Linked DNA regions of Rhinolophus ferrumequinum. The protein of the gene in region 2 purifies or fractionates together with the protein of the main gene of each other region. This does not show direct contact. Links are inferred from orthologs where the notes say so. Each region holds a gene or a part of one and is shown on either strand. Other genes may lie near its edges.

Region 1 (10,154 bases), on a different chromosome or scaffold from region 2:
AACTCATTTGCTGAGGAAAGACTCCAGGTTCTTGGCCTTCTAGGGAAGAATAACAATGGCGTTCTAGAGACACGGCACTCACTTGTGTTTCTCTCCCAAGGCAGTTATCCCCATAGTGGGCATTTTAGGGCCGGCTAGAGGGAAGTCTTGACCCTTAGACCTTAGGTGAGTAAGCACCCTCCTGCTGTGATTATCCTAGAGAAGGGCAAAGGGAACGAGTGATGCAGGAGAAGGAGCCCTGACCGGAGAGAAGACATGCCTACTGTGTGACCGTCGTATCTAAGCTCCTATTTACAAAATAAAGATATCAACTTCAATCCAGCCCAAGTTCCCAGAGTTTTTTATAAGACTTTATCAGATCATTTGTGAATACATTTTGAGCTAAACAGATTGGTCTAAGTAGTCACAGGGGCCCCTCAGGTTAAAAGGAGTAGAAAGAGTGTTAAAGAAGCTGTGGCCGTCTTTTACCCACCACACTGTTTTTCTGTTTCAGAAGCAAGTTGAGCCCAAGCGTCAATTGTTGGCTAACTTTATAACGAAAGAGTGTGGGGAACCTCAAGACTAACGGCTTGGGGAAACTGGGTTAGAATGTGAGACGTATCATTGCAATCAACTCTCTTCTGCTCTGAGGTGTCCTAGCTGCTAAGCCTCTGCTCTCCTGTACACACTCAGGAGCTCCCGAGGCACACAGTGAAGGCAGAGAGTCATGCCAAGCCTTTGGCAGTCATTCTAGAAAGTAAACCTGTACTTTATAATTTTTTTGTTTCCTCTTTCTTCCTTAGCAACTGAAGCTTACACATTCTATGATTCCAAGACAGCTGTCCCTTTGTTTTCTTTCTTCACCTTTTTATCCTGTGAAGGGAGTGTAGAGCCTGTGATTTAGATTCAAGTGTTACATATAGCTTGAATGAAATGAATGAATGAAATTCAACTCCATCCTTCAACTGGGGTTGCAAAATCAGTCTTGGCATTGGTTAAAAATAAACATACCTAAAAAGATTTGAAGGGGTGGCCGGTTGGCTCAGTTGGTTAGAGCGTGGTGCAGGTAGCACCAAGGTTGCTGGTTTGATCCCTGCATAGGCAACTGTGAGCTGTACCCTCCTTAAAAAAATACCTAAAATAAAATTTCAAAAAAGATTTGAAAGTAAAACTTGAAATAATTAAGAGAATAATTAAAAAATATAAAGGTGAATGCTTTTTATGTAATTAGCACAATGTACAGGTGAACATGATATGGAAGCAAATATTGAAATACAATAAATATAGTAAAATAGATAGTTAAGTACATACGAGTAAGCACATTAAAAAGGCCACCTAGGATGGGCGCCCTAGGAACTGGATGCTTTAACTTAGAGTGGCTTAATACTACTGAAACCATCAGTTAACAATTAACATGTTTAGGTAGATCAGAGACTCTAAAGATATAGGTATAGGCTTTAACTAAATGTTTCAATTGCTTTGGTTGTCACACAGCGTATAGTCAAAGATTAAGGCCTGCCTGTAAAGCAAGTTCCAGGAGAAATGTTCAAAAGTACACTTTTATAGAAAATACAGCTAGTTAAGCACAAAACAATGATACCTTAAACAATGGTGATGGTCACAAGATGTCCAATTTTTGCTTTTTGCTTTAAAGAGAACGTCACTGATGCACAATTATGAGATGTTTTTGCAGAATCTTGGTTCTTCAATCCAGCTCATCTCGTTCTCACAATATAATTTTAAGTTGCTGACGTACTGTTTCTTTGTCAAGCAAGAGGAGATAACTCCAGGGTCACAAGAAGAATTTATGAGTTTATTTTACAGAAGGAATAAAAGTTACAACCAGCTGCTGACACCCAGAAGTCTGGTTGCACAAAATGTTATCTATGACTAAAGAAATACAGACTCTCCCCTTGGTTCCATGAAATTCCCCCTCCTCTGCTCCCTAGCCACATAAAAACTCCCTACTTTTGCTTTTTGAGGAAGACAGAGTTGAGAGATCTTGCTCTCTCATCCTCTTGCTTTGGACAAATGGAATAAACCTTTCTGTATCTCCAAGCTCCAGTGTCTCAATGTTTGTTTACTAGCACATCAATGACATGGACCTGAATTTTGGGAGGTGGTTCAGTAACACTACCAATAAGTGTTGTGACAAATTTGATTCAACTTATTTCATGATGCAGGCAGAAAAAAAAAACCAGTCTTTTGAAGTAGCTAAACATTTGGGAGTATGATGAATTATATCTGTCCATAATAGTTTCGTGAAGAGCATGGGTCTGGTTCCTTAGCTCTTAGTCATTTTTGTTAAGCTTGATAATAAAGAGAAAGATAGCATGATTTCTTCCTCTCACAACTTCCCAGGTACAGCAGCTCTGTTTTCTCTTCCACACAGAGACTGATTCCTTGGAAGTACCTCTTCAGGGCCAGTATGGAGTCTTTATAGCTCAGGAGAGTGCTTCCATCCCCAACTCAGACATCGAGCAGGTCTCTAGGACTTCCCGATGCTGATAAAGTCCAGTAAAGAATTTATCCAGTACAGTTTCATCCTAGCCAACCTCTTATCCTGAACAGATTGAAGATCTGCTGAGACATCTGGTGGAGGATAGCAGTGGTCTGAGCCTTTGGGATCTTGCTGCCATCCTTCAGAAACAACAGAAAACAACTGGAACAGCTAACTGTCCATGAGTAAATAATTTATGACACACCTATTCGTGGGTAAAAATAGAACTGCTTAAAAAAGATTAAAAAGTTCTCTCAATTGTCACCCCAATAAACTTAAAAAAAAAAGTTCTCTATTATATGGGAAGATCTTCCAGTGAAAAAAAGATAGGTGCAGAACAGTGAGTATGGTATGTAAGTATCTTTTACATAAAAATTGGGAGAGTGTAAAAAGAATATAGCTATACTCTGATTAGTTTGCATATGCATAAAAGAAACTAGAAGAATTTAAAAGACAGTTGTAACTTCCAACTGAGGAAAATGTTGGAAGAATTTTGTCAAAGTATACATTTATTCATATGACAAATTTAAATTTACTAGTAATTAAAGAAATTCAAGTTAATAAAATATCTATAAAAGGAAAGATAAATAGAAGGGAAAAGCACATTCAAAACATCTATTGTGAGTTTTGGAAAGAAATATTTATGTCTTAGAATTTATCCCAAAATGGGAAAGTTTTGTGCCCAGATTCTGTAAATTACAGATTCTATAAAACAATGGAGGACAAGAATTCAGGAACAAATAATGGGCAAAGGAAAGGACAGCACCGGTATGTATAGTTATCGGACAATTGTGTAGCCGTTTAAAAATTTGAATGGAAAACAAAAGCATGGAGAATTACTGATGGTGGAATTCCACTGGAAGGCAAAAATACAGGCTATATTATTTACATAGCACAGTCACAATTTGGTATTTAAAGAGACAGATGATATGTGTTTTAAATGATTGAAAACAGTTATAATTGAAGTGTCAATTAAATGGTGTGGGATATAAATGAAAAAGTCTTTTAAAGAGGAAAACTTGTAAGCATCGTTCCCCCCCTCCCCCCGCCCTCCTCTGCTATGTTTTACTTCAATTTATATAAAAGCCGTAATTCATTGTTATTCAAAGGGCAGAAGCCAGGAAGTGTAAACCTTAAACAAAAAGTGTGCCTGGGGTGGGGGTGGGGGGTGGAGCGCTCAGAAGCTGTGCAGTTTATACCAAACGTGCAGCATAACCTACGTGCTGGCCTATTTAGTCCCACCTAGAATATGACCCAAAGAGGGCCGGCTCGCGCCCACCCGGCACAGCTCCGCTCCCCCGCCCCCTACCCTTCCAGTCCCCAGCGCACTTCCTCCCCCTTCCCCCCGCCCCCGCCCACTGGCGAGTTGGACGGCCGCGCCGCCGCGCAGCCGCAGTAAGTGCTGCGGCCGCTCCTAGCCCGGGGGATCCTGGGACTAGGCCTTTCCGGAAAGGACCGGCTGGGCGTCGGGGGCTAAGGCCCGTGTTCCAGACCCGTGTTCCAGGCCCTTGCTCCAAGAAAGCCCGGGCCACGACGAAGCTCTAGTGACGGCGGAGGACGCAGCAGGCTGCTCGCTGAGGTGCCCGGCCTCGCCGGCGAGCGAGCCGCGGAGCCGCAGTACGTGGCGGTGCCTCCCCCTTGGCCTGGAGCGGAACTGCTGGAGGAGCGGCAGCGCAGGCCAGACAAGGTGAACCGGGTCAATTAACTGCCTTCAGATGATGAATCATCTGCATAACAATCAGATTTGATGTCCGCAGCCCTTTGTGGTCCTGCTGCAGAACCCTTTTAAGTGGATGACTGATTGGTGTGTTCAGAAGGGTGCCACGGTGACTGCTTGCCCTTGACAAGGAAAGCGGATCTCCTGCGCTTTGGACATCCTCGGTTCCTTGAAAGCATTCCGGTTTTAACTTCTTTCTCTGGCATCTTTGTGCAAGAGGCTTTCCCATGAAAGTGTCTCTTGGTAACGGCGAAATGGGCGTTTCCGCCCATTTACAGCCTTGCAAGGCAGGAACCACACGATTTTTTACCAGCAATACGCACAGTTCGGTGGTATTGCAAGGCTTTGATCAGCTTAGAATAGAAGGATTGCTTTGTGATGTGACTTTGGTACCAGGTGATGGAGATGAAATTTTCCCTGTTCACAGAGCTATGATGGCGTCTGCTAGTGATTATTTCAAAGCTATGTTTACAGGTGGAATGAAAGAACAAGATTTAATGTGCATTAAGCTTCATGGCGTGAACAAGGTTGGTCTGAAGAAAATAATTGATTTTATTTATACTGCAAAACTTTCTCTTAATATGGACAATCTTCAGGACACACTTGAAGCTGCCAGCTTTTTACAAATTTTACCTGTTTTGGACTTCTGTAAAGTGTTTCTTATTTCAGGAGTCTCTTTAGATAACTGTGTTGAAGTTGGGCGAATAGCTAACACTTATAACCTTATAGAAGTGGATAAATATGTCAATAATTTTATCCTGAAGAATTTTCCTGCATTATTGAGTACTGGGGAGTTTCTAAAACTCCCTTTTGAACGGCTTGCCTTTGTGCTTTCCAGTAATAGTCTTAAGCACTGTACGGAACTTGAGCTCTTCAAGGCTGCCTGTCGCTGGCTAAGGTTGGAAGACCCTCGAATGGATTATGCTGCAAAATTAATGAAGAATATTCGATTTCCACTGATGACACCACAGGACCTCATCAATTATGTGCAGACAGTGGATTTCATGAGAACGGACAATACCTGTGTGAATTTGCTTTTGGAAGCTAGCAATTACCAAATGATGCCATATATGCAGCCAGTGATGCAGTCAGATAGAACTGCCATTCGATCGGACTCAACACATTTGGTTACATTAGGAGGAGTTCTGAGGCAGCAGCTGGTTGTCAGTAAAGAATTAAGGATGTATGATGAAAGGGCACAAGAGTGGAGATCTTTAGCCCCTATGGATGCTCCTCGTTACCAGCATGGCATTGCTGTCATTGGAAACTTTCTTTATGTAGTTGGTGGTCAAAGTAATTATGATACGAAAGGAAAAACTGCTGTTGATACAGTTTTCAGATTTGATCCACGGTATAATAAATGGATGCAGGTTGCCTCATTAAATGAAAAGCGCACGTTCTTCCACTTGAGTGCCCTCAAAGGACATCTGTATGCTGTTGGTGGGCGAAGTGCAGCTGGTGAACTGGCCACAGTAGAATGTTACAACCCAAGAATGAATGAGTGGAGCTATGTTGCAAAAATGAGTGAACCCCACTATGGCCATGCTGGAACAGTGTATGGAGGCTTAATGTATATTTCAGGAGGAATTACTCATGACACTTTCCAAAACGAGCTCATGTGTTTTGATCCAGACACAGACAAATGGACACAGAAGGCTCCAATGACTACAGTCAGAGGTCTGCATTGCATGTGTACAGTTGGAGACAAGCTCTATGTCATTGGTGGCAATCACTTCAGAGGAACAAGTGATTATGATGATGTACTAAGCTGTGAATACTATTCACCAACCCTTGACCAGTGGACACCAATTGCTGCGATGTTAAGGGGTCAAAGTGATGTTGGAGTTGCCGTCTTTGAAAATAAAATCTATGTTGTAGGTGGATATTCTTGGAATAATCGTTGTATGGTAGAAATTGTCCAGAAATATGACCCAGAAAAGGATGAGTGGCATAAAGTTTTTGACCTTCCAGAGTCACTTGGTGGCATTCGAGCTTGTACTCTCACAGTTTTTCCACCTGAAGAAAACCCTGGGTCACCTTCTAGAGAATCACCTCTTTCAGCACCTTCAGATCATTCTTAGGACTAAGGTCTTAATGTTTTTGCAGTGCATATGGACGATCTTATCATTCCCCCTCAGCTGTATCTTCTTTCAATGATTAGTACAGTTATTAGATTAAAAAGGTAACTGATGTTATTTGTATTGTTTGACTTAGTATGTTTATCAAATGGTTAAATGCATTCTGAAAATGTATTCAACACAGCCAGCTGTTTTAAAAAATGTAAAAAGATCTGTGAAAAAAAAAGGTTAGATGTCCTTTTGTGGTGTTGTGTAAGTCAAATTGTAGGTGATTGTAGTAAATGTATAATTATGTTCATTATGCTTCAAAGTTGATAGTTTTCATCTTTTGACTGCAAAACATCAAAGGGAGGCTGCCAGCTCTAACCTAAAATATTAAACAAAAAGTCGCCAAGTATTATTAGCTACCTCCCTTTTTTCATAGTTTTTGACATAGCTGCCAACTCACCAGATTGTGTTGGTGCACTCAGAATGTGTGAAATTTCTTAGGCAGAAAGGAGAAATAGTAAATTTAAAAATACTAACTTGAAAAAACAGTATAGCCCTAAGTCTGTATCGCTAGAGAGAGGGAGGAGAGACTTCTCTCCCCACACACACACACATACATATGTATATACATACATACACATATATAATTTTTAAATTGGAATTTCAGGCATAGTGAAATTGTTTCTAAATTTAAATTATTTTCTTTTATCTAGCAGCTATTTCTATTCAAATGGGAATTCAATAGCAGAGAATAAATGTCTGTATAGTCATACTGAATTGAGATAGAAGCACTACATAGTAAATTGACAAACCAAGTTTGTCATTTGACTAAATCGTTACTGCAGATGAAACATACGACTTTTTCTGCCTGTATATTATTTTCCGTAGAGTTGCTTTTATACATATTATTTAGCAAAGTTCAGGTTTCAGAGACTTGGCTTTTGCTCTAAATTTAGGCTCTGCTATTTTCTACCTTTGTGTTCAGTAAAACTTACGATACTATAAAAGCAAAGAAATATGCTGAACAGAGCTATAGGATTTTAAGTTCAGTCTCCCAACTTAAGTCATTCTAACAAGATTATTTGATTTGCGGTGGTTGCTCTGGTGCTGCTCCTGCCCTTGTGCATCCTGAACTTTGTGTGATCTGCCTCAAGGCTATGAGCTGAGCAAGCAGTAAATGTACTCTGTTCTGCATCAAATCAGAAAAATGTCCTTTTGGCTATTTCTAAAGAACAGCACCAACTTCAGATTCCCTAAGGAGCCAGCTACAGAAAACCTAGGACATTGCTGTCTTGCAGGCAATACTAAAGTAGATCTTCAGCCTTTTCAATACCAAGGGCATCCTGGCATCCCTACTGGTTGAGAACCATAGGAATCCTCTATAGTGAGTGATTTTCAAGAAGTACTTTCCTGGAATGTCTACCTGAAGAGAAAATTTACATACATACTTTTACCATATATATGTATATGTATATCTCTATACTTGGGAGATTGTCATAGTGTAAATCAGGAACAACCTTCTCTTTATTGATGATCTCATAATAAAACTCAGGAACCAAGACAAATGCAATTGGCTTCCAGGGATCTGAATCTTACTGCCCATACAAGTGTTGATTCATTTTAATGCTTTTTATGATTTCTGCACTGGCAGAAGTTTTCATACTTTCTGTGTTTTTTTTTTTTTTTTAATGATTCAATTTTTTACTAAAAACATTTGAGTACATTTAGAAAATATAAAAAGTAGAAATTGCTGTTAACCTTGTGCATTGAATGAGTAATGGCATCCCAATCATTTCATTATTAGTGAGTTTGTGAGTAGCTGTGTTTCCTCATTGAGCAAATATGTTCATGTACTTTGCCTTTGTAATAATACCTATTGGAGTTGCGTTGTTTTTCATACCAAGTTATAGGGTCTCTTTATATAATAAATATAATTTAACTGGCATTTGCTTGAATTTCTTCTTTTTTCTCAATCACAGTTTTACAAAGGCAGGGCCAATTCAGTTAATTTTTGAGATCAAATTTGTCTTTTTTGCATTTTGACCTTTTAGGGATAATTTTGCTGTTTTTTTATGTAGTACTGATACCACATTCCTTGTCCTTTATCTTAGCCCTTTGTCAGTACTAATTCTTAACCTGCTATGGTGGCATTTGCTATTTGTCTCCTTTAAGTAGCTTTCTGGTTGAAATGGAGATGAATTTTCTTACAAATTTATAAAAATTACTTTTATATTAACAATATTAATCTTTGTTTTAGTAAGACTATTAACTTTTATTTACAGCAAATATTTTATCATTTTTTCTTTGATTATGTCTTAACATACACTTTTTTTTTGTAATATAGTGAAATTAGTTTTTCCTTTGTCATTTTTTCTGCTTTCTTGGCTTATTTTTTCCCCATCATGAGATGGTATAATTATCCCAGTATTTTGTTATTATTATGGAGATGATTTTTTACTAGACTTCTGGTATAAAATTTAATATATGTTTTCAAATTATCTAGTTGTTCCATCACCACTTTTTGAATAATCTTCACTTTCTTACTGAATTTTTAAGCTTTTTAAAATTATAATAAAATTTTATTTATAATATGGGCAATTTAGGGTATTTTTCTTCCGTTTCAATGATCTTTTATTCAAGTTGTCTTTATTAGATAGATTGCTGTTTCAAATGGGATTTTGTTTTCATATACTCCAAACTTTATTGCAATAGTAAGAAATACATGGTTTTAGCATTTTGGTTTTCTGTCATTACTCTCCTTGATTCTTAGTTTTTTGAGTGGATTCTTTTGTATTTTTCACCTTAAAGAATCATCACCTGTAAAGAATCATTACCTGCATAGTATAAAAACCTTGTTTCTTATTTATTTCATATCTTTCCCCCCCTTCTTTCACCTCCCCCCCCCACAGTTGAAGCCATTGTTTCTCAGTCTAGTTGTGTAGGACACAGCTCCCTGACCCAGGCTGGTGTTATGAGCCTTGCACTGCCCCCCACCCCAAGGCATTTAGTCAGCGGTCCTCGGTCGACCGCTCACGGGAGTTCACGGCAGCTCACGGCAGCTCTCTCCGGCTGCTGTCCGCTCACGATGGCTGCCAACCACTCATGCTGGCCCAATGGCAGCTCATACCGACCTGACCTCCGTCTGCTCACGGCAGCCCAGCTCCAGGGAGAGCTGTTCACAATCTTAGCTGTAGAGGGCGCAACTCACTGGCTGGGAATCGAATTGGCAACCTTTGCGTTAGGAGCATGGCGCTCCAACCACCTGAGCCACCGGCGGGCCCTCCTTACTCTTTAAGGCCTGTCTTCTCTGCCAGAGTGCTCCATTAAAGAAAGTAATGTCTTTTTATATTTACCAATATATTTACAAACACAGGTAAATTACCTACAGCAGAATACTTCAAAATATTTTATAAATCAATGAATGGAATAAAACTATGTTCCTTTTGGATTTGAAGGCAGATTATAGGTTAAGGGTATCTTTACTAAGATTTTTAATAAGAGTATCTTTAATAAGAGTATCTTTAATAAGAGTATCTTTAATAAGATCTTTAATAAGAGTATGAGTAAGAGCTTACATTTAAGGTATAGATTTTACACCTCCAAGGCAAATGAAAACAAGACCAAGTTGACCATAAAATAATATGAAGAATAAATTTGGTAAATACAACAATCATCCTAGATAAGTAGATAAATTCTAATTATTACAAAGTAGAAATGCATTTTCTCTTGATTCAAAGGGAGTTTCCTCTTTTTATAGAAAAACAATGGCCAAAAATGACAATGCATTTTACAACTGAAGTAGAAAATAAGTCTTTGAATTGAGTGACTATTTACAACCTTGAGGCTTATATGTAGATAAGGCTTAGTCGACAAGACTCAACCAGGAAAGACT
Region 2 (10,154 bases):
TCCTTTTCTCTTCTTTTTAAAGAAATTCTGTTCGTGATTATAAAGGCAAAGCCAGAGGCAGCCCAGTCCAGCTACAGCGACACCTGCCGGCCAAGAGGAGCACTGCCTTTCCGACGCCAACACTCATACACAAGGACCGTGGGCTGCCCCCCCTACCCTCACCCCCACCCCGGACAGGAGATGAAGCTGGAGAGTGAGGAGCACGAGCACGGCTCCGAGCCTGACCGGATGGGCACTCAGCTCTCGGCCAGGTTCACTGTCACCCCAAAACCCATGGGGGAGATGCTGTGACCACCTCCGCTTCACAGTAGACGCGGGAAGGTGACATGGCTCGCCCAAGGGAAGACACTTCCCAGGTGGCAGTGTCTACGGGCTCTGGGTGCGCAGTCCCCCATATCAGACGGCCTCTCCAGGGGTCCCTGAGGCGGAGAGGACCGTGGGCACATGCCCCCGCAGGAAGGGCGGCAACAGGACTGGGGCAAGTCTCCCAATGGCAGGTATTCAAGGCTGTGTGACAGGCAGGCCTGGCCTGACCCGACCAGGAGAAAAAGGGCACTGAGGCCACTGGCCTGCCACCCTGTGCCACAAAGCCTTGTCACGTGGCTGCACACAAGAAGAGCTCAGGCAACGCTGAGCCAGGTCGGCATTGTACCAGGGAGGCCCACTCACACCCACTGCTGCCGGGCCCAGCGAGAAAGCAGCAGCTCTTACTTGGGGCGGGCTGGGGGCTCCCTCGGGGCCTCCACAGCGCCCGCGTCTGCGCCCGGTGGCTCCGCCTCCTCCTGCTCGGGGCCGGCGGGGTCCGTGTCCGCGTCCGCAGTGGGGCCAGCCTCCAGCTCCTGCTCTGCAGCTGCCTCGTCCTCCCGCCTCGTCTTCTCCTCCAACTCTTTCCTCCTCTTGTCATCGTCCTGACGGGCCATGTGGTCAAAGGTTCTGAACACCTGAAATCAAACAGCCACGCACCAATGAGCTCACCTCCCAGAATGCACCACAAAAGGGCGGGTGCAGCAACACGCAGTAAGAAGGCACGGCAGCAAGGGGGACAGCACCGCCGCCGGCCGGAGGGACACGCACTCGGCTGGGCCGACCGCTGCCAGGCAGTGTCCCCTCCTGCGGGAGTTCCAGCCCGACCAGGGAGGCCTCACAAGCCACGGCCGCAGAAGCCCCACTTGTCGCCTCACGATGCAAGACTGAACGGCCCTGCCGCCATCACCCTCAGCCTGTCTGTCCAGCTGCCATCCAGCTGCGCGGCCGTGCAAAGCACTCGCTGCCCAGGTACTGAGCGCTGCTCAGGCCCACAGCTCAGACGGCAGATGGCAGAGGAGATGGAGCTGAAGTTCACTCGCAGGACGGCAGCAGGCACCGTGCGCGGCTGGCAGCGGCCTCTCTGGCTCGGCGGCCTGGGTCTCCGAAGGCTGGGAGTTCAGCCCAACAAACCTCTAGGATGTGCTGGCAGTGCGCAAAGCACGGCCTCCTACTGACAGCTCCCACCCTCTCCAAACGCAGAAGGTAAACCAGCCCTGCCTCCGTCTCTCCTGGGACACAGTCACGCCCATAAAAGTGCTGGGACTGTACCCCCAGGAAGTGCACATGAAACATAGCCCAAACATGTCCAAGGGCACACATAACCCTGGAAGTGCAGCCAGGACAGACCCACACATGACGACCTGACGGCAGAGGCTGAGGTCACACCCACCAGGCCTTCACAATGAGGCAAGCGAGCATTGCTGATGAGAGAAACATGGAGGGGTTTCCTGGAAGGAAGGGGTCTGGTCAGACCTTCAACGAAAGGCAGGCCCGTGTTCCTCGGGAAACCACAGCCTCCAGAGGCGAGGTCCTCAAGAAAAAGTCCCTGTGGCTGCTGAAGGCAGGAGGCTGGGAGACCTCACCTAGGAGCACGGTGGGAGCAGACCTGCCAGTTACCCAGCGACCGTGCCCCTTGGTATTTGCCAATAGCACTGAACACTAACCCCACACAAAACCCCACACACGAATGTTTAGAGCAGCTTTATTCACTACTCTCCAAACTAGGAGCAGAGATGTCCTTCAGTGGGTGGGTGGACAAACTGCCCATCCAGACAGAAGGACGTTAACAGCACTACAGAGACGAGCTGTCAGCCACGGAAAGACACGCAGGAACCTCAAGTGCATGTTACTAAATGACAGAAGCCAGTCTGAAAAGGCTGCACACTGTAATGGTTCCAACTATGTGACATTCTGTAAAATGCAAAACTATAGAGACAGTAAAAGGATCAGCGTTTAGGGGGGAGGGAGAAATGAATGGGGGAGCATGGAGGACGCCAAGGCAGTGAAACCACTCTGTGTGACACTGTAATGATGGACACGTGACACAATACGTTTGTCCAAACCCACAGAACGTACACAACCCAGAGTGACTCTAAAGCTGCTGGTTGGGGTGACAATGACATGTCAGTGTGGGTTCATCAACTGTATCAAAGGTCATGACTCTGGGGGGGGCTACATGTGGGAGGGGCTGTGGGGACTCTGGGCCTTCCCCTCAATTTTGCTGTAAACCTAAAACTGCTCTTAAAAAAAGTTGTCTTATGATAAAAGAAAAACCACAAATGTTTTACCAGTGGGCAGGAGTCCATTTCCAAAGGGCAGGACATACCCTGACATTAAATAATCGTGTCCTGTGCACCGAGCAGAGGACAGACTGAAGAAGGTACGAACACACCGAGCCACGCCAAATGTTTGGCAAAGTCTCTCAAGACCCATGACAGTGCCGAGAAAAGGAACACTACTGTTTCAAAGGCAATGGAGTCGGGCTCCGAGGGCAGCTGCCTGCCAGAGGTCCTGCATTGAGAGAGGAAACCACTGATAGACGCAGCGGGGAGACAAAGGCCTGAGGCTGAAGACAGGAGACGATGCCGACCTGCTCCTCCTTCCGAAACCTCATTTGTAACCCTGACCCTCTGCCCTTGGAGCTGCTCATGCTCGTGACACCCCAGACCTTCATCTTAACTCCACAAAAACAGCAACAGCAGGGCTCCTCTAACAGCCGGGACCCCGCGGACCCTGCCTGATGGTCCCACGGCAGCCCTGCCTCTGCTCACCAGCACCCCCAGCTCTCACTCATTCTAGAATCGCGGACCACAGGGCCGGAAGAGCCACCTATGACCTCCAACCAACCTTCTCAACTGACAGGGGAGAGTTACTGGCCCAAGATCTCCCCACGAGCTCCGTGAGGGACAAATGGAGCCAGTTTTCCTGACTCTCTTGGGCGGGCTTCTCCCACGCAGGCTGGCCAGAGACTTCCAGATAAACAGCATCAACGAAAACAAACAAAAATGTCATTCTGAACTATTTTCTTAGAACACACTAACATATCACGGAGAGAAACGCACTTTTCGCCTGCATCTTTCCTGATAAGGGGCCTTTGGCTGCGCATGCAGGCTGTGCAAGCCCTCAGAATTAGGAGGAAAAGTCTGACCAGTTTTACGCCACCCCCCAAATTATCAGGGAACGCTTTTGAGTTCCCGAATGGAGCACCCCAACACTCCCATCCACACCCCCTTTGCCTGTGGTCTGAAGAGACCCCAAGCACCTCCTCTCAGGTGGGGTGGCCACAGGAAGTACTCTTTTGCCATCAAGTCAGGGGCTGACGAGCACAGTGAGGTCAGGAGGCCATCCAATACCACTGGCAGGTGACACTGAGTGGTACCAAGTCCCTAGCTCTGACCCGGCATCTTTTCTTTCTTTTTGAGGCACAGGTGACAGCGTCCTATTCATTTCAGCTATATACGCAGCGACTGACAGCTGGACCCTCGGTGATCCCCACGACCACTGCCATGACCTGTCACGTGGCATGCTGTCACAATAGCACTGACTACCACCCTAAGCTGTGCGTTTCATCCCACGGTTTAGCTGTTTTATAAGTGGAAACTTGTCCTCACTCAGTACCTTGGTGTCCCACCCACAACAAAACTGTGCGGTGCTGAACCCGGCTTCACAGATGTCCTGCCACACGCCCCTGCAGTTAAGGGACAGCTCCCAGGAGTCACCCTGACCCTCCAACCAAGACACCCAGGGAATGTCTGCTTTGGTAAACTTCCTGGGCAATATTAACGGGTGGGAACCACTTCCAGAAACGGAACCCCTCTCCACCCTCTGCTGGAAACTGTCCCCTCAGTTTCTGTGACACTTACTACCCCACCCCCTCCCACTCTACAGCTTCCTGCTTCTCCTCTCCCTTCCCGACCCTCCACCTTCAGCTCTTCGCTCCCTCAGACCACTCAGGTCTCTGGCTCCCCGAGGTCCAGTCCCAAACCCAATAGCCTGGGGGCAGGGGCTTCTGTCTACGACTTCAAATTAACTTGTGTAAAACTAGGCTTTTCCCCAAACTCAAGTGACAGTACAGTTAATGCATTATCGTTACTCCACCCACCCAAGTTTGAAACCTTGGGTCATCTCTGATTCATCCCTGCCCTGTCCTGCTCTGCTCTCACCTCCACTTAAACTGGTCACCAAGTCTTAACCGTGAACATAGTAGGTTTACATATAGATACCAGATAAATGAGTTACCTGTCGGTTCATCTGTAAAACAAGGGCAAAGCCCAGCCTTTCAGGTTGTGTTAGCATTAAGTAAGATAGCGTCCTGGCCTGTAAAACCCCCGCCGTAATAACTGCTTCTTTCTCTTCCACATCCTTTCTGCAAGCTGCACTCACCCTACATCCCAGCATTCCCACCCTACCATGCGTGGAATGGTTAAATAATGGAGCAGAAACATCTGGAATCACAAAAACGAAGTTTTGAGTTCCAGCTCTACAAGTCTGGTCAATCACCTAGCCTTGCTGAGCTAGCACCCTCACCTGCCAAAAAAATCAACCGCATCTACTTCACAGGAATATCCACGAAACTAGCAAACTGTTACAGGGCCTGCTAGGAACCCTCAGTCAGATGGCGCAAGGCCACTGGAAGGATGAGGAAGAGCCTTCAGTTCTGACACTGACACTCAACTCCACCCCTCATTACACTGTATTATCTTTAGTTACTAAAACATTGTGAGCTTTGGTTTCTTCCTCAGGCACCAGGGAAATTCCTGAGCAACTCACAGGTTGCAGCAAGACTTCAGGTCACATTCGAAAGCACTGTATAAACTGTAAAGTGCTAGGGGACTGTGGGAGGTACCACCTGCGTTTCAATTTTCTCAGGTTCCTACCAAAAGGCTCAATGCTCAACTGAAGACCCACTTTCATCCCATCACAGTCCCACCTCCCCTTTCTGACTTCCAAACCATCCTTTCTATTCCTTTCCTTCCATGGCTGTCACACAATTGGCCTTGCACAGTTGTTACTGCCTGTGCTTTTCCTTCTTAACTATAACAAGTGTCACAAGGAGAGACCATTACTTAAACACCCAAACCACAGTGCACCTCTGCCTGTTTCAGCTGAGTGTAAACAGGAGCAGCAAGGACTTGCTTACTACACTCCAAGGTACCTAGTCAGGTTCAGGGAGGGTTCACGGGACCTCAAATATACAATAAACGTAACCTGGGATATACAGATGTACGCTCCAATGTGCTGTCTTTGACCCATTTCCAACAAGGGGACCACACCCATCAATCGCCACAGTCTCCCTTCCTCCTCCAGTCTGTGGTTTGGGGAGTCAAGGTGCTCGTTTTCATTCCCTGACTGGCAGTCCCTGGCACCTCCAGGGGTCCTGGGCTGCGAAAGCCAAGCTGGCCCTGAGCGGGGGTGTGCTACTTCTGACACCCAAGTGCGCCCTGTGTCAGCCAGGCTGTCGAGAGCCAGTCCTGCTCCCACACAGGAGCAACTTGATATGCGACCAGCGTCTCTGCTTACTCGCAGCCCCGGCCCCAGGAGGAGAGTCCGGGGAAGCGCCAGAGGGGGAACTGAGGCCGGGAGCGGAGCGAAGGGCGGACTCGCAAGGGTCGGCAATTCCCGGGGATCCGGGCGCCCGGAGGCGGGGCTCCCACCGCCCGCCCCACACCCCGCCCGCCCGCCCGGCGCGCGTCACCTGTAGCACCAGCGCCTGCGCGGCCCCCGGCGGGAAGCCCATGCGGTCGGACGGGTGGCGCAGCAGGCGGTAGAAGTCGGTCTTGCGGTAGAGGAAGCCGAAGAGCACGCGCAGGAAGTCCTGGACGTTGCCCACGTGCTGCAGGATGCCCAGCAGGGCCTGGTCGTACAGCTCGGCCGCCCCGGGCTCCATGGCGTCGCCGGCAGGAGGACAGCTCGCTCACTGCAGGCGCGGCCCGGACGCCGGCCCACGGCCACTTCCGGCGCGCCGCGGTAACGGCCCCGCCGCGGGCGCACCCGCGAAACTTCCGGTCCGCGCTCGCTCGGCCCCGGCGGCTGCGCTGCGCTTGGGCGGTCTCGCCGCTGGCCCCTCCCCCGCCGCCCCGCCTGTTCCCGGGCTCCCTCGCGGAGGAGTGCACTTGGGCCCCGAAGTGGCTCCTAGACGCCAGAGGGCCAGGGGCTGCGCGACTGAGGGCGCCTCGTGGCCATGTTGGAAACGGGCGGAAGAGTGCGGCGGACGCAGCACCACGTGGCCCGGTCCTGTTATGTGGTCTGTGGGTCGCGCTACCGCCCGGGTGTCCCGATCCCTGGTTTCCCAGCGCGACCGCGCGAGCCTTGCGCTGATGGGTGGGAGGAGGAACGTGCGTGCGTGCGGGTGGCATGTGTCCCGTTAACGACAGACAGTGGGTGAAATGCAAGGTGGCGTCGTAAGTAGAAGGAAGAACTTAGAGTGCGTACGTGCCCGAGTGCTGCGTGGAAAAGGTGCGCAACAGTCTGGTGTGCCATCATTGGGAAACCTGCGTGTGCATAGTGTACATACACCTGTCCCACGTGTTGTCCAAGTACAAAAGTTAAAAACTGTCAAAGATTTTATTCAACAGTTTAATTAACGAAGTCACCAGTGACGTGATAAAGCTGGTTCGCAGCATTGGGAGGAACTGGGTCCTTACTGAGAAAACAGCCAGGTTGTTGGGTTGGATACAAAGCTAGCTGGTGTCCTACATGATGGTAAAACCGAAGGTTACCTTTTCTAGTAGATAGGAAATGACTCGCATCTCAACGACTCAGATCTATAAGTTAACAACATATATCTTCATGGTGTATGGATTCTAAGGAATTGTAAATAAACTCAAACTCAAATTGCCCTAGAGAAGTGGTTCTGAAACTTTTTAGACTCAGGACCCATTTATGCTGTTAAAACCTACTGAAGACTCCGGTAGTCTTCATGTGGGTTATGCTTATTGATAGTTACCATATTGGAAATTAAAACAAAATTTTAAATTATTCATTTTTAATCTATGAAAAGCATTACATGTTAACATTTTTATGAAAAAATAATGTTCTTCAAAGCAAGAAAAGTTTAGTGAAAAGAGTAGCATAGTTTTACAGTTTTCAATCTCTTCAGCGTCTGGCTGAAGAGAAGACAGCAGGATCTGACATCTGCTGCCCAGAACCCTGCAGCGATATCTTGGGATTGATGTATATGAAGAAAGCCCAGCTCACAGTCAGCGGCTGGAAATGAGAGGACTGTTTTTATTGTCTTTTCAAATAACTTTATTATTCTTTGAAACTACACCCAAATTCGGCTAGTAGTAGTTTCTTAGAGGTTAGGTGCAATATGGAATTTAAAACATATCAATAGATGTTTCCTACTTTGTCACACCAATATCCATTGGTCTGTCCTGCTTAGAATGGATCTTTTACACACTCACAGGTACAGTGTCCCTGAATACACACAGAAGAAAGGCTGCGTGTGCAGACAGCAGCATTTCAGCCGCATCCGAGTCAGGAAGAGAGGTCTTACCAGACACCAACCCTGACTCCAGACTCCAGAACTGTGGGAAAACTAATTCCTGTTGTTTAAGCCACCCAGTCTGTGGTACTTTGTTATGGCAGCCCGAGTACATACAACCACCAACGTTGATTCCTGCTAAGACCAGCAGTGTTACCCACTGTTGCTTTTGTACCATCATTGCAAATGTCTGTACAGTGAAAAAGCAAATAACCACATTTATTACTTTGATCTTGGAGACCGCCCAGGAGTCAACAGACTATACTCTTGAGAACTGCTGGCCTAGAGAATTAGGGAGCCCTGAGATGGGCCTGTTACATAATGCCTCAGTCTGACTTGAGAAGGACATGCAGCCATCTGCTTGCTGTATTTCCAGGTTTTGAATGACATCTGAAAGCATCACAAGAGGTCAACAGAAACTGCTTCTGCAGAGGGGACTCGGGAAACAGGACAGAACAGAGGAGGCCACCTTCGAAGTCGGTACCATGTGCTTGCATTCCCTGTTCAAAAAGTAAATAAAATATTTAAAGTGAGTAGGAAGCTAAACATACTCTTACCATACAATCCAGCAATCACACTCTTAGGTATTCACCCAACTGGGCTGAAGACCTTGTCCACACGAAAACATACAGATGTTTATAGCAGCTTTACTCATAATTGCCAAAAACTGGAGGCAACCAAGACACCCTTGAAGAGATGAATGGATGAACACACTCGTCCATGCACACAGTGAAACACTGTCATCAGCAAGAAGGAATGAGCACCCCAGCAGCAGAATGATGTTGGTGGATCTTGAAAACGTATTGCTCAGAGGTAGAAGCCAGTCTGAGAAGGCTGCCACGCAGCATGACATCCTGAAAAATGGCAGGGTCGTGGAAACGGTAATCAGAGCAGTGTTTGCCAGGGCTTGGGTATGAGGAAAAGTCGGATGGGTGAAGCTGTTGTAGTCGAGACTGCTGCTGGACACCTGGCACATGTATTGTCCAAAGCCAGAGACGTTTATAGCACCGAGAACGACCTTAATGTGCACAAATTTTAAGCAATCAAGAGATTGGGGCTCGGAATGGAATGCGGAATGTGACAAAACAGTCTATTTATTACCAATGTATGAGACAGCCCCACTGAATGGAGATGCTGACCTGGGTAAACCGGAAATGAGTGGAGTGGGCGGGGCCAAGGGACTGCACGAAGAAACTTCATTCTAACGTTTCCCGCAGGGTTATCCATTCTGAAAATCGTGCATCTGCACAGTGGAAATGAGCAACTGAGGCAGTGGTGTGGGAGGTGAAGCCAGGCTTCTCACTGTTGGCTTGGCTGGTTACAGATAAGCAAGGGAGGAGCCTGGAATGATCCATGTGGTGGTGGGTTAGAGCTGGAGGCATCAGAATGAGCTTGTGTTTAGCCCAATATAGATGCAGATGGCTGCGGATAGAACTCTCTGTATGTACACGTAGCCACATGTATTTAGACACATATTTCCGTGCTCTCCCAGCTGAGGGCCCTGCACAGGAAGGGAGCAGCGGCGGGTCCCTGCACTGGCCAGACCCACAGGCTCTGTGCCTCCTGCTTGTGGGGGAGTTGCCTCCGCTTCTGAAAGTCACTTCTAAGGAAGGGCACATGATGGCCTGGCTACTTTCTTGCAAAAGGGGAGGGGAAAACACAAAGTAACATCTCCACAAATCACCCTTCCACATGTGGTATTTGTGTAATGTACAAAAATTATCTTAAACCCAGAGGCAGCCAGAATAAGACATGTGACATAAAACACCATTTCTCCTCAATAGACATTTATTAAGCACCAGTGTGCACGCACTGAGCAAGGTGCATTCCTCGGTCTACATTTCACGGGATCATGGTTGGGCTGGTTTGAGGCCCTGGCCGGTGCTCCAGGCATGTGACAGCGGTGGGAGGGCTGGCCTGTCCCCAGGAGCTCGCGCAGCCTTGCAGACACACTGGCAGCCTCCATTGGAGGTCTTAATAATGGTTGGAGCTGGAGGCCAAACCAAGTGTCATTTCTAGTGAGGTCAATCCATGACAGTATGTTTTCCAGAGCATTCTGCTGCCCTCCCCCACCAGCAGGAAGCCTCTCCCTGGCCTTCTGCGGAAACTGCAGCCAGGCTGAGGGTCCTGCTGTCTGTTCTCAGTGACGCTAAAGAGTCTTAAAGGCTGACACCATAGTGGGACTTTTTTGCCAGAGCGCTGGAGGGGGGTGGGTAGGAAGTGGGCGATTATGGGAGAGTTCTGAGTCTGGAACAATTGTCAAGAAGTGTGTCTTATTCCTGGACACCCGAGACCCAGGTCTCAGGGAGAAGACGACTATCCTGTGCCAACTTCTTGGAAATGAGGGCCCTGCTACCAGGGC

The links.
Region 1: the proteins of NUDCD3 (region 2) and KLHL9 purify together in Homo sapiens (co-immunoprecipitation; 3 studies listed by BioGRID and IntAct, with this or other methods). This does not show direct contact. The link is inferred for Rhinolophus ferrumequinum from reciprocal best matches to the Homo sapiens genes NUDCD3 and KLHL9.

What each region holds. Positions count from the first base shown.
Region 1 is NC_046295.1:18,597,922-18,608,075, forward strand, and holds KLHL9 (kelch-like protein 9), read left to right. Parts: upstream 1-3,887; 5' UTR 3,888-4,423; coding exon 4,424-6,277; 3' UTR 6,278-7,256; downstream 7,257-10,154.
Region 2 is NC_046303.1:272,939-283,092, forward strand, and holds the start of NUDCD3 (nudC domain-containing protein 3), read right to left. Parts: upstream 6,328-10,154; 5' UTR 6,194-6,327; coding exon 6,002-6,193; intron 942-6,001; coding exon 712-941; intron 1-711.